2 linked regions of the Arabidopsis thaliana genome follow. The protein of the gene in region 1 interacts with the protein of each later gene in a pairwise test. Each region holds a gene or a part of one and is shown in the gene's direction. Other genes may lie near its edges.

Region 1 (5,649 bases):
GGGACAATCAATCATTGTGGTTTGTATGATAATTTCGTGTTGTCCTATTGGACCTGGGGTTGATAAACCATCGAGTCCAACAAGAACACAACATATGTACATATGTTTGGTGTATGCAAAATGTTGTCTTTTCAAATTTTCAGAAAAGATTGTTAAAAAATATAAATGCGTCTGCCGGGAGTCGAACCCGGGTCTATTGCTTGGAAGGCAATTATCCTAACCGTTGGACTACAGACGCTTTTGCATATCGAGCAAATAAACTATATATACATATAAACTTTGGATGTTGAGGTTAAAGTGAGAAAGATTTTAAAATACATATATATAGATATAATCTATATATATATTTTTGCATCCATTTTGTGAAATAAATCCTGGAGTTGAAACTTATTTACAATGGCTGTCACTGGCTTTTAATTATTAGTTTTTTCAGCAATAAATTGATTAACAAACGAAAAACATTCCAAATATATTTCAATCCCATATATCACGCAGATTTTTCCAAAATTTGAACTAGATTTCAGCAACTATTTAAAACAAAAAATGTTTGACAACCCAAAAGACAATTGCAATCCCTTAAAATGAGCAAACGCAACTAAATACATTTCTTATCAATTCACTAAATCTTATTTCTCCAAAATTTGAACTAGATTTCGACAACTATTTAAAACAAAATTTTGTTTGACAAACTAAAACACAATCGCAATCCATAAAATATTTATTTTAATTATAAATTTCAACTAGCGGGGTACCGCGGTTTTTTTTTACAGGACGGGTTTGGCAGAACGGGTTTGGAAGGACGTTACTTAATAACAATTGTAAACTATAAAATAAAAATATTTTATAGATAGAGATAATTTGCAAAATTTTATATATACTAGTTTAAATAAAAAAAATTATCTCCGCGGTGTACCGCGGGTTAAAATCTAGTCTATATATACATTTTTGCAACTATTTTGTGAAATAAATCTTGTAGTTGAGAATTATTTACAATGATTGCCACTGGATTTTAATATTTGTTTTTGATAATTAGAAAAAAAATCTTCGAATTAAATATTTGACATTTAATAAATTTTTTTAAAATCTCTTTACATTAACTACACGATTGGTTACTAAAATAAAACTTTCAAAATATTTAATATCATTTAATTACTACAAAATTATCATTATTGATATTGTTTTTCTTCATGACTATTACAATTCAATTATAATCATCAAACCGCAGAGATATTTGATAACATTTAATTACTACAAAATTACAAAATATTTAGACAATGATTCATAAACATATGATAAAGAAGATCAACATTAATAAAATAAATGAGCTTTTTTTACGGGATGGGTTGGCGGGACGAGTTTGGCAGGACGAGTTTGGCAGGACGAGTTTGGCAGGACGAGTTTGGCAGGACGTTACTTAATAACAATTCTAAACTATAAAATAAAAATATTTTATAGATAGTTACATAGATTGTTACAAATTACAAACTTTTATATATACTAATTTTAAAATATAAATTGTCCCTACGGTATATCGCGGGTGAAAATCTAGTATTATTATTATTAACCGAAAGAAATTTCTTTCAATTTTAAAAATTCTGTCAGTTATAATGAAAATGTAAAACTGTAATAAGGATTTAATATACATATTAACATGTTATATTGATATGTTATTACTATTATCCAATTTGCTTTTTCTATTACTGTTTGTTGGATGTATTGAAAATTTAAGATTGTCTCCAAAATCGATTATTTTGAAATTATATATAAAAAATAAGATTTAAGAGATTTGTTTCCAAAATATTTTGAATTCTCCATTTATTTTCATATTCTATCATATATTTTTTAAAGAAAATAATCAAGATATACACATTTTATAACTTCATAAATCGTTTGACACAGAAGAGAATCGATAAACTATAAATCTGCAATGTTTAATATTATTACGAAATGCTTTTAGGTAAAAGATGATATGATAGCAAGTGTGTTTTTTGGACTTATAAAAGTGAGTAGCACCTAGTGGGGGGAGAGAGAGAGAAAGAGAAACAAAGAGAGCGATAAAGAGATGGGTGGAGAAGAGAGATCAGGAGATGGAGAAAAAAGAGGGGAAGAAGTAGTTGATGCTGGTTCTCTCTTCGTCCTTAAATCCAAAGGTACGTTTTATTAATTATGAAATCTATGAAACTTAACGTATACTATTATAACCCATTTGAAGAAGATATGATGATGATGATGATGGAAACTAGGGACATGGTGGCACTGCGGATTCCACTTGACGACGTCTATAGTGGCGCCTGCGCTACTGAGTCTACCGTACGCCTTCAAGTTCTTAGGATGGGCTGCCGGGATATCTTGTCTGGTCGGAGGAGCAGCCGTTACTTTCTACTCGTACACTCTTCTTTCTCTTACTCTCGAACACCACGCTTCTCTCGGCAACCGTTACCTCCGCTTCCGTGACATGGCTCATCACATCCTCAGTAATTCTTTTTCTTTTTACATTTGCTCTTTCCTATAATCAAAGCTGCGACAAATTTACCTTAAGAGAATTTCATTCAAGATTGAGATGTATAGTTGTACGTAGACATACGTGTCTATATGAACTTCTATACGTAATAATTGACACACGGCCGGTACCACTCCAATAATTTCATCCACGCAATAAAGGAAGGTACATGTCCTACGTAATAATTTGTTTGAACAAAAAAAAAAGTTAATTTTTGTGTGAAAACGCGAGATGGAATACTTATAATCACGTTTGCTATTACGAACAACGGAATTTTATAAGAAACCAAGTAAACATTGGTATGAGCTCAACTTTTGTTCGTGGTTGGTTAATATCACAATATATGTATTGTGTAAACCTATGATTTTTAAAAAAATACTTTTCTATACTGTTTGGTCTTGTTTCGAATTATAAGAAGAAAAAAAACTAATCATATGGAATTCATATTATAGTGAATTTTTTGATATGGCTTGCTTCGGTTCAATTTTGTTGGGATCCGGATCGAAGTGTTGACCATTCCACATTTCCACTCATACCACTGTTAAGTTTCAACTTTTTCATGCGTTAGATAGCTGTCTCTTTCCGTGTCTTGTTTCATTTTTGATGCAGAAATTTGTCTTTCAAAACTAATTTCAATTTTTAAAAATATGTGCGTGTCAGAAGAGTATTCATAAAACGTTGGTGCCGACCAAAATTTAATCTTATATAAGTAAAGTTGGATAGGTTCGATCTGCTTTCAAAAGTAGAATATTCTAAATTTCAGATCCTACATAGGATTCGATCCAAATTAGGATAGTTACGCTTTGACTGTCGACTACCAAGGAAATCCACATGTCAACAAAACTTTTAAGACAAAATTTAACGTATTTATCTATGCAAAAACTACAAAATGATGAGAAAAAATTGATTGAAATTTTTTATCTTACTGGATAATTCTGTTTTAGTAGCTAATATGAAACTAAATCCATTATGCATCGAATCATCGATTTGGATTTTAGTTTTCATTAGAGTACACCGCTAATCTGAAGGATTTATAGGAATTCGATTTAGCCCACTTTTTCGGGACTGTATACAACTTTAATTAGGATAAGGTAAAGTATAATACAGGTTCCGAATGTTTGATTAGTTAAGATCAGTTTGGTTTTCCTCTTAACAATTATTGGGGTGTGTTTGATAAGGTCCGAAATGGGGAAGGTACTACGTTGGACCAATACAAATGGCGGTGTGCTATGGTGTGGTTATTGCCAATGCGCTCTTGGGAGGGCAATGCCTAAAGGCAATGTACTTGGTAGTGCAGCCAAATGGGGAAATGAAACTCTTTGAGTTTGTGATTATTTTTGGATGCTTACTTTTGGTTTTGGCACAATTCCCATCCTTTCACTCTCTACGATACATCAACTCACTGTCTCTCCTCCTCTGCCTCCTCTACAGTGCTTCTGCCGCTGCTGCATCCATCTACATTGGTACTCTTCTTTACTAAACCACTTTACTCTTAATTCTTAAACCTTTTATATTGTTACATTTAAAAGGTGAGTTTTCTGTTAAATATCAGGAAAAGAACCAAATGCACCAGAGAAGGACTATACTATAGTTGGTGATCCAGAAACTAGAGTGTTTGGAATCTTTAATGCTATGGCTATTATTGCTACTACATACGGCAATGGCATTATACCTGAAATTCAGGTTTCATTTTGTTTCCATTCTTTGTTTAGAACACCACTTTAATATTTATTCATCAAAAACAAAAGGGCAGTCACATGATCGACTCAGTTATATATATAGAGTATTTGATATATGAATACTATCTTCTTGCAACGCAGGCAACAATATCGGCACCAGTGAAAGGAAAAATGATGAAAGGGTTGTGTATGTGTTACCTTGTAGTAATAATGACATTTTTCACAGTAGCCATCACAGGATATTGGGCATTCGGTAAAAAAGCCAATGGACTTATCTTCACCAATTTCTTAAATGCCGAGACAAACCATTACTTTGTCCCTACTTGGTTTATTTTTCTCGTCAATCTCTTCACTGTCCTTCAACTTTCGGCCGTTGCTGTGGTAAATACAATTTTTTTTTAACGTTTTTCTTTCACATATATACATTGTTATTATTTTATTTTATTTTCGTCACATATATACATTGTTACTAATTTTGAGTTATGCAGGTATACCTACAACCTATAAACGATATTTTGGAAAGTGTGATCAGCGATCCAACAAAGAAAGAATTCTCTATCCGCAATGTCATCCCTCGACTAGTTGTGCGTTCCCTCTTCGTCGTGATGGCTACAATCGTTGCGGCAATGCTTCCATTTTTTGGAGATGTAAACTCCTTGTTAGGCGCTTTCGGTTTTATACCTCTAGACTTCGTTCTTCCTGTAGTTTTCTTCAACTTTACTTTCAAGCCGTCTAAAAAAAGTTTCATTTTTTGGATCAACACTGTGATCGCCGTGGTTTTTTCGTGTTTAGGGGTGATTGCTATGGTAGCGGCGGTTAGACAGATTATAATAGATGCCAATACGTATAAGTTGTTTGCGGATGTATAAAAGAACATGCAAAGCAAAGTGAGATTGTTATTTCTATATTTAAGAATAAGCCTTTTTTTTTCTTAGAAAAATGTTTATGATTATAAATTTGGAAAATAATATTCAAATTTTGATAACAATATTTTTACATAATTTAAATTAATTAATTTTGAATGAAATAAATACAGATGAAATAAATATCTAGAAAATTGATAAATCACAGTACAGGCCTGGAATATGAGCATTTGAAACCCAACGCAAAACAATTCCTAGAAACGGAAGCCCAAAAGTTGGGGGCTATAATTAAACCGGATTTAAAAAATCGGTTTGATTGGTTACCCACACAAAAATCTGGTTCAGGATTTTAGACTCGTTTTCAATTTCAAGCGTGTTTGGTTCGCCGGCAGAGAGACATAACCAAACAAATAGGGTTTAAGCTCTACTAAAATGGCGACGACGTTGAATCGAATCCTGAAGCATAGATCAGTCTCTGCTCTCAACAAGCATCATCAAGGACTCTTCTCCCTCACTCGATACGAGAATCATGACTCTCTCCCTTCTCAAATGCCAGCTCTTCGATCAACCACCCGTTCTTTCCTCGATTTTTATAAGGTAGGAAATT
Region 2 (3,825 bases), on another chromosome or scaffold:
TGGATATGATAATCTACGTGAGTCTAGTGGCCAGTTGTGTTAGCGTGGTGGGGCTTTTTGCTAGCAGTGAGTGGAAAACTTTGAGCAGTGAAATGGATAACTACAAACATGGGAAGGTATCCTACATTATGAACCTAGTGTGGACAGCTGTTACCTGGCAGGTATTCTCCATCGGTGGCACAGGACTGATCTTCGAGCTCTCCTCTCTATTCTCAAATGCAATAAGCGTTTTGGGACTCCCAGTGGTTCCTATCTTGGCTGTAATCATTTTCCATGACAAAATGAATGGGTTAAAGGTGATTTCTATGATCCTAGCTATTTGGGGTTTCACTTCCTATGTCTACCAACAATATCTTGATGACAAAAACTTGAAGAAAAATCATGAAATCACAACAACAGAATCCCCTGACCCACCAGAAGCAGAAGAGTCAACTTGGCAATCAAAATAAGCTGATATTTTGAAAGATGCTGTCCCGCAGTTTACAGACTCAATCAATCTAGTTAAGTAAACTTACTTTACTTATCGGCCTGGAGGCATCCTACATTGAAGAATACACAATACATTTTTGATGCAACTAATGTAAAGTCTCAGCTTGAAATTTTTTGCATCATTGTAACAGGAAGTAGATTTCATTTAAATAAGTAGTGAATGACTTTGGTTTAGTTTCAATTACGATTACCCAAATTACATTGTAATCTCAGTGAACCAACAATCTTAAGTTTAGAACAGCTGATTACAAAAGTTCATCGTTTAAACTTGGGTTCATAGCAGCTAAAGATTAAATGTAACTCAACCCTGTATGTAACAAGAACCTGTAGGCAGATTGATAAAAGTAGATATTTATTTAATAAAAAACCATGTCAATTTTGTGAGTGTGACACCTGATAAAAATTAACCCTTAGCCATAACTTAAAAAGATTTCAATGCACTATTCCACTTTCTAGTTTTACCTGAAACATTGTGAAACAAGGACACACAGAAAATCATTTCTAATGAAGAAAGAAGAAATATTAATCAGACAGGTCCAAACATCCTTGGTGAAACAGAGCTTTGTACAAAAAGTAAATGACCAGAAATAATACCATTTGGCAGTCTCCATCTTAGCAGTTAATAAAGTGACTTCCTCTGCCATCCAATATTGTGGTGCAAATGTCTTCTTTTGAAAAGAGAAGCGAGACATCATCTCCATAAATGTGTTTCTAATCCACATGCCTGATCTCATAAGAGAAAGATAGTCAGACGGAACAAGCCAAAGAAATTAAAGAAGACGAATAACTTTCAAAATAGACATCCTGACGGTCATACAATCTTACAACTTGTGTGCATGCGTGTTAAGTTTGTGTCTATGCATATGGCTGATGTGTCACACAGGTATAAAATACTGAGTGACTAATGGCTACACATCATTTCCTTCTTGATTTGACTCGACTCATCTCTAGATCAACAATAGTGACAAAAGAAATTAAATTCACAGCAAGAGAAGATATACAGTTGGCATTTACTGAATGTGGGGACAAGTACAATCAAAACATAGACGATGACCGATTCCTAATCTCTAAATATATAGCTACAGCGTGTCTCACCCATATCACAGAAGCAATCACTTGGTAGCACTAGTAACCAAGCAATTTGATAATAAGATACCTAATACTTAGAATCTATTCAGAACATTGTTAGTACCTCCTTGTCCATCTCGAAGGAGGGGGATTCCACATCTACTATGAAGGGGGATCAAGAAGTACAAGTCATTGGTGAGTAAGCATAAACCAGTTCCTCGAGAACCTACTGGTCTTTTATCTTCAAATAAAAGACGAAAAATATGGTTATGGTATCTTATTATTCAATATATCAATATTTTTCATGTGTGACAACAAATAAGTCATAATCTAATTTCTTGCGTTATTTTCCATCACTCACCAGTTCAGCAGGGAAAAGAACCAATTCCAACAGATCAAGACGAAAGAAGTTCGGTCAGTGGCAGCCAAACAAAACTATCTCACTCTAATACATACAAACGGTGGCTCCGGGTTGCTATCTATACATTCTTTGTCATTTCAGGCCAATCAGTTGCTACAATTCTGGGCAGACTATACTATGAAAATGGAGGAAACAGCAAATGGCTAGCAACGGTAGTTCAGCTTGTAGGCTTTCCTATTCTACTTCCATATCATCTCTTGTCAGTCAAAACACATACAACAACTCAGAGAGATGGCAAATTAACCTCACTTAGGAACCGTGCATTAGTTTACATAGTGCTTGGACTTCTTGTAGGAGCAGCTTGCTACCTATATTCCATTGGACTGCTTTACCTACCTGTTTCTACCCTTTCCCTGATCTGTGCATCACAGTTAGCCTTCACCGCTTTCTTCTCTTATTTACTCAACTCACAAAAACTTACTCCTATCATTTTGAATTCTCTTTTCCTCCTCACTATATCTTCCACCCTCCTTGCATTTAATAACGAGGAATCAGATTCCAAAAAAGTTACAAAAGGAGAGTATGTCAAAGGTTTCGTATGCACCGTTGGTGCATCTGCTGGGTTTGGTCTACTCTTATCCCTACAACAGCTAGCCTTTCGTAAAGTTTTAAAGAAGCAAACTTTCTCAGAAGTTATAAATATGATAATCTACATGAGTCTAGTGGCCAGTTGTGTTAGCGTGGTGGGGCTTTTTGCTAGTAGCGAGTGGAAAACTTTGAGCAGTGAAATGGAAAACTACAAACTTGGGAAGGTATCCTATGTCATGAACCTAGTGTGGACAGCTGTTACCTGGCAGGTATTCTCCATCGGTTGCACAGGACTGATCTTCGAGCTTTCCTCCCTATTCTCAAATGCAATAAGCGCTTTGGGACTCCCCGTGGTTCCTATCCTGGCTGTCATCATTTTCCATGACAAAATGAACGGCTTAAAGGTGATTTCTATGATTCTAGCTATTTGGGGTTTCGTATCCTATGTCTACCAACAATATCTTGATGAAACAAACTTGAAGAAAAGTAATGAAATACCAACAACAGAATCCCCTGACCGACCAGAAGCAGAAGGGTCAAGTGAGCAATCAAAATAAGCTGTTACTTCAAAGATTGTGGCACACACAGTTTACAGACTAAAGCGAGCTGATCAAGTAAACTTACTTTTCTTTATTGGTATGAAGGCAGCCTACAATGAAAAATAAACATAATAGATTTGTGATGCGACTCAAGTGAAGTCACAGCCTGAAAATGTGTGCATCATTGTAACATGAAGTATATTTTATTTAAATATATGTTGTGCACGATTCTGGTTTAGTTTGGAATAAGATGACCAAAATCACATTATAAGCTCACTGAAATAGCATTAAGTCATTAACAAAGTCAAAACAGCTGATTACAAAAATTCATTGTTTAAAACTCAATCCTGCATATAAAGAGAAGGTGTACACTATGTAGCTTTCTAAGTTTTTGTAATATATCTAGGTGTAAGTAGAGTTCCAATCAGCTTACATCAGGCACCCAACATAGTGAGCCCGAGGATACTTCTTATGCAGTTGTGGCCATTGAACAAAGAATTGATCAGCTATTCTCAACTTGTAAAGCAACAATCCACTTAATGAGAGCTTTTTCACTCTTGCTACACTCTCAACATAAAAGATTGATGACCATCTAATTCCCAGCACCTGTAACCCAAGATGAAACAAGCACTTATGGGAATTCTAGATGTAATGGAGAAACCATGACTAAGAATAAACAAAACACATCCTCTGTTTTTGGTCACAAGTCCATTCAAGGTCATCCAAAATGTAGAGGAAAGAACTGCAAAGAATCTTGATAAAATATTTCCGAAGTGTGTA

What was found. Proteins that work in one complex are often made in the same cells at the same time.
Region 2: the proteins of AT1G08230 (region 1) and AT4G18220 interact in a protein complementation assay, tested with the Arabidopsis thaliana proteins (one large-scale study listed by BioGRID).

The regions. Positions count from the first base shown.
Region 1 is NC_003070.9:2,583,114-2,588,762, reverse strand, and holds AT1G08230 (Transmembrane amino acid transporter family protein), read left to right. Parts: upstream 1-1,793; 5' UTR 1,794-2,062; coding exon 2,063-2,150; exon of another isoform or gene 2,151-2,243; coding exon 2,244-2,474; exon of another isoform or gene 2,475-3,678; coding exon 3,679-3,963; intron 3,964-4,052; coding exon 4,053-4,183; intron 4,184-4,320; coding exon 4,321-4,560; intron 4,561-4,667; coding exon 4,668-5,048; 3' UTR 5,049-5,119; downstream 5,120-5,649. Other genes in the region: AT1G08220 (ATPase complex subunit), read left to right, coding at 5,475-5,639. UniProt on the Arabidopsis thaliana protein: High affinity gamma-aminobutyric acid (GABA) transporter probably involved in GABA uptake into cells.
Region 2 is NC_003075.7:10,077,047-10,080,871, forward strand, and holds AT4G18220 (Drug/metabolite transporter superfamily protein), read left to right. Parts: upstream 1-1,591; 5' UTR 1,592-1,681; coding exon of another isoform or gene 1,682-1,721; coding exon 1,722-1,752; coding exon of another isoform or gene 1,753-1,798; intron 1,799-1,921; coding exon 1,922-3,063; 3' UTR 3,064-3,316; downstream 3,317-3,825. Other genes in the region: PUP10 (purine permease 10), read left to right, coding at 1-449; AT4G18230 (UDP-N-acetylglucosamine transferase subunit ALG14-like protein), read right to left, coding at 3,475-3,651.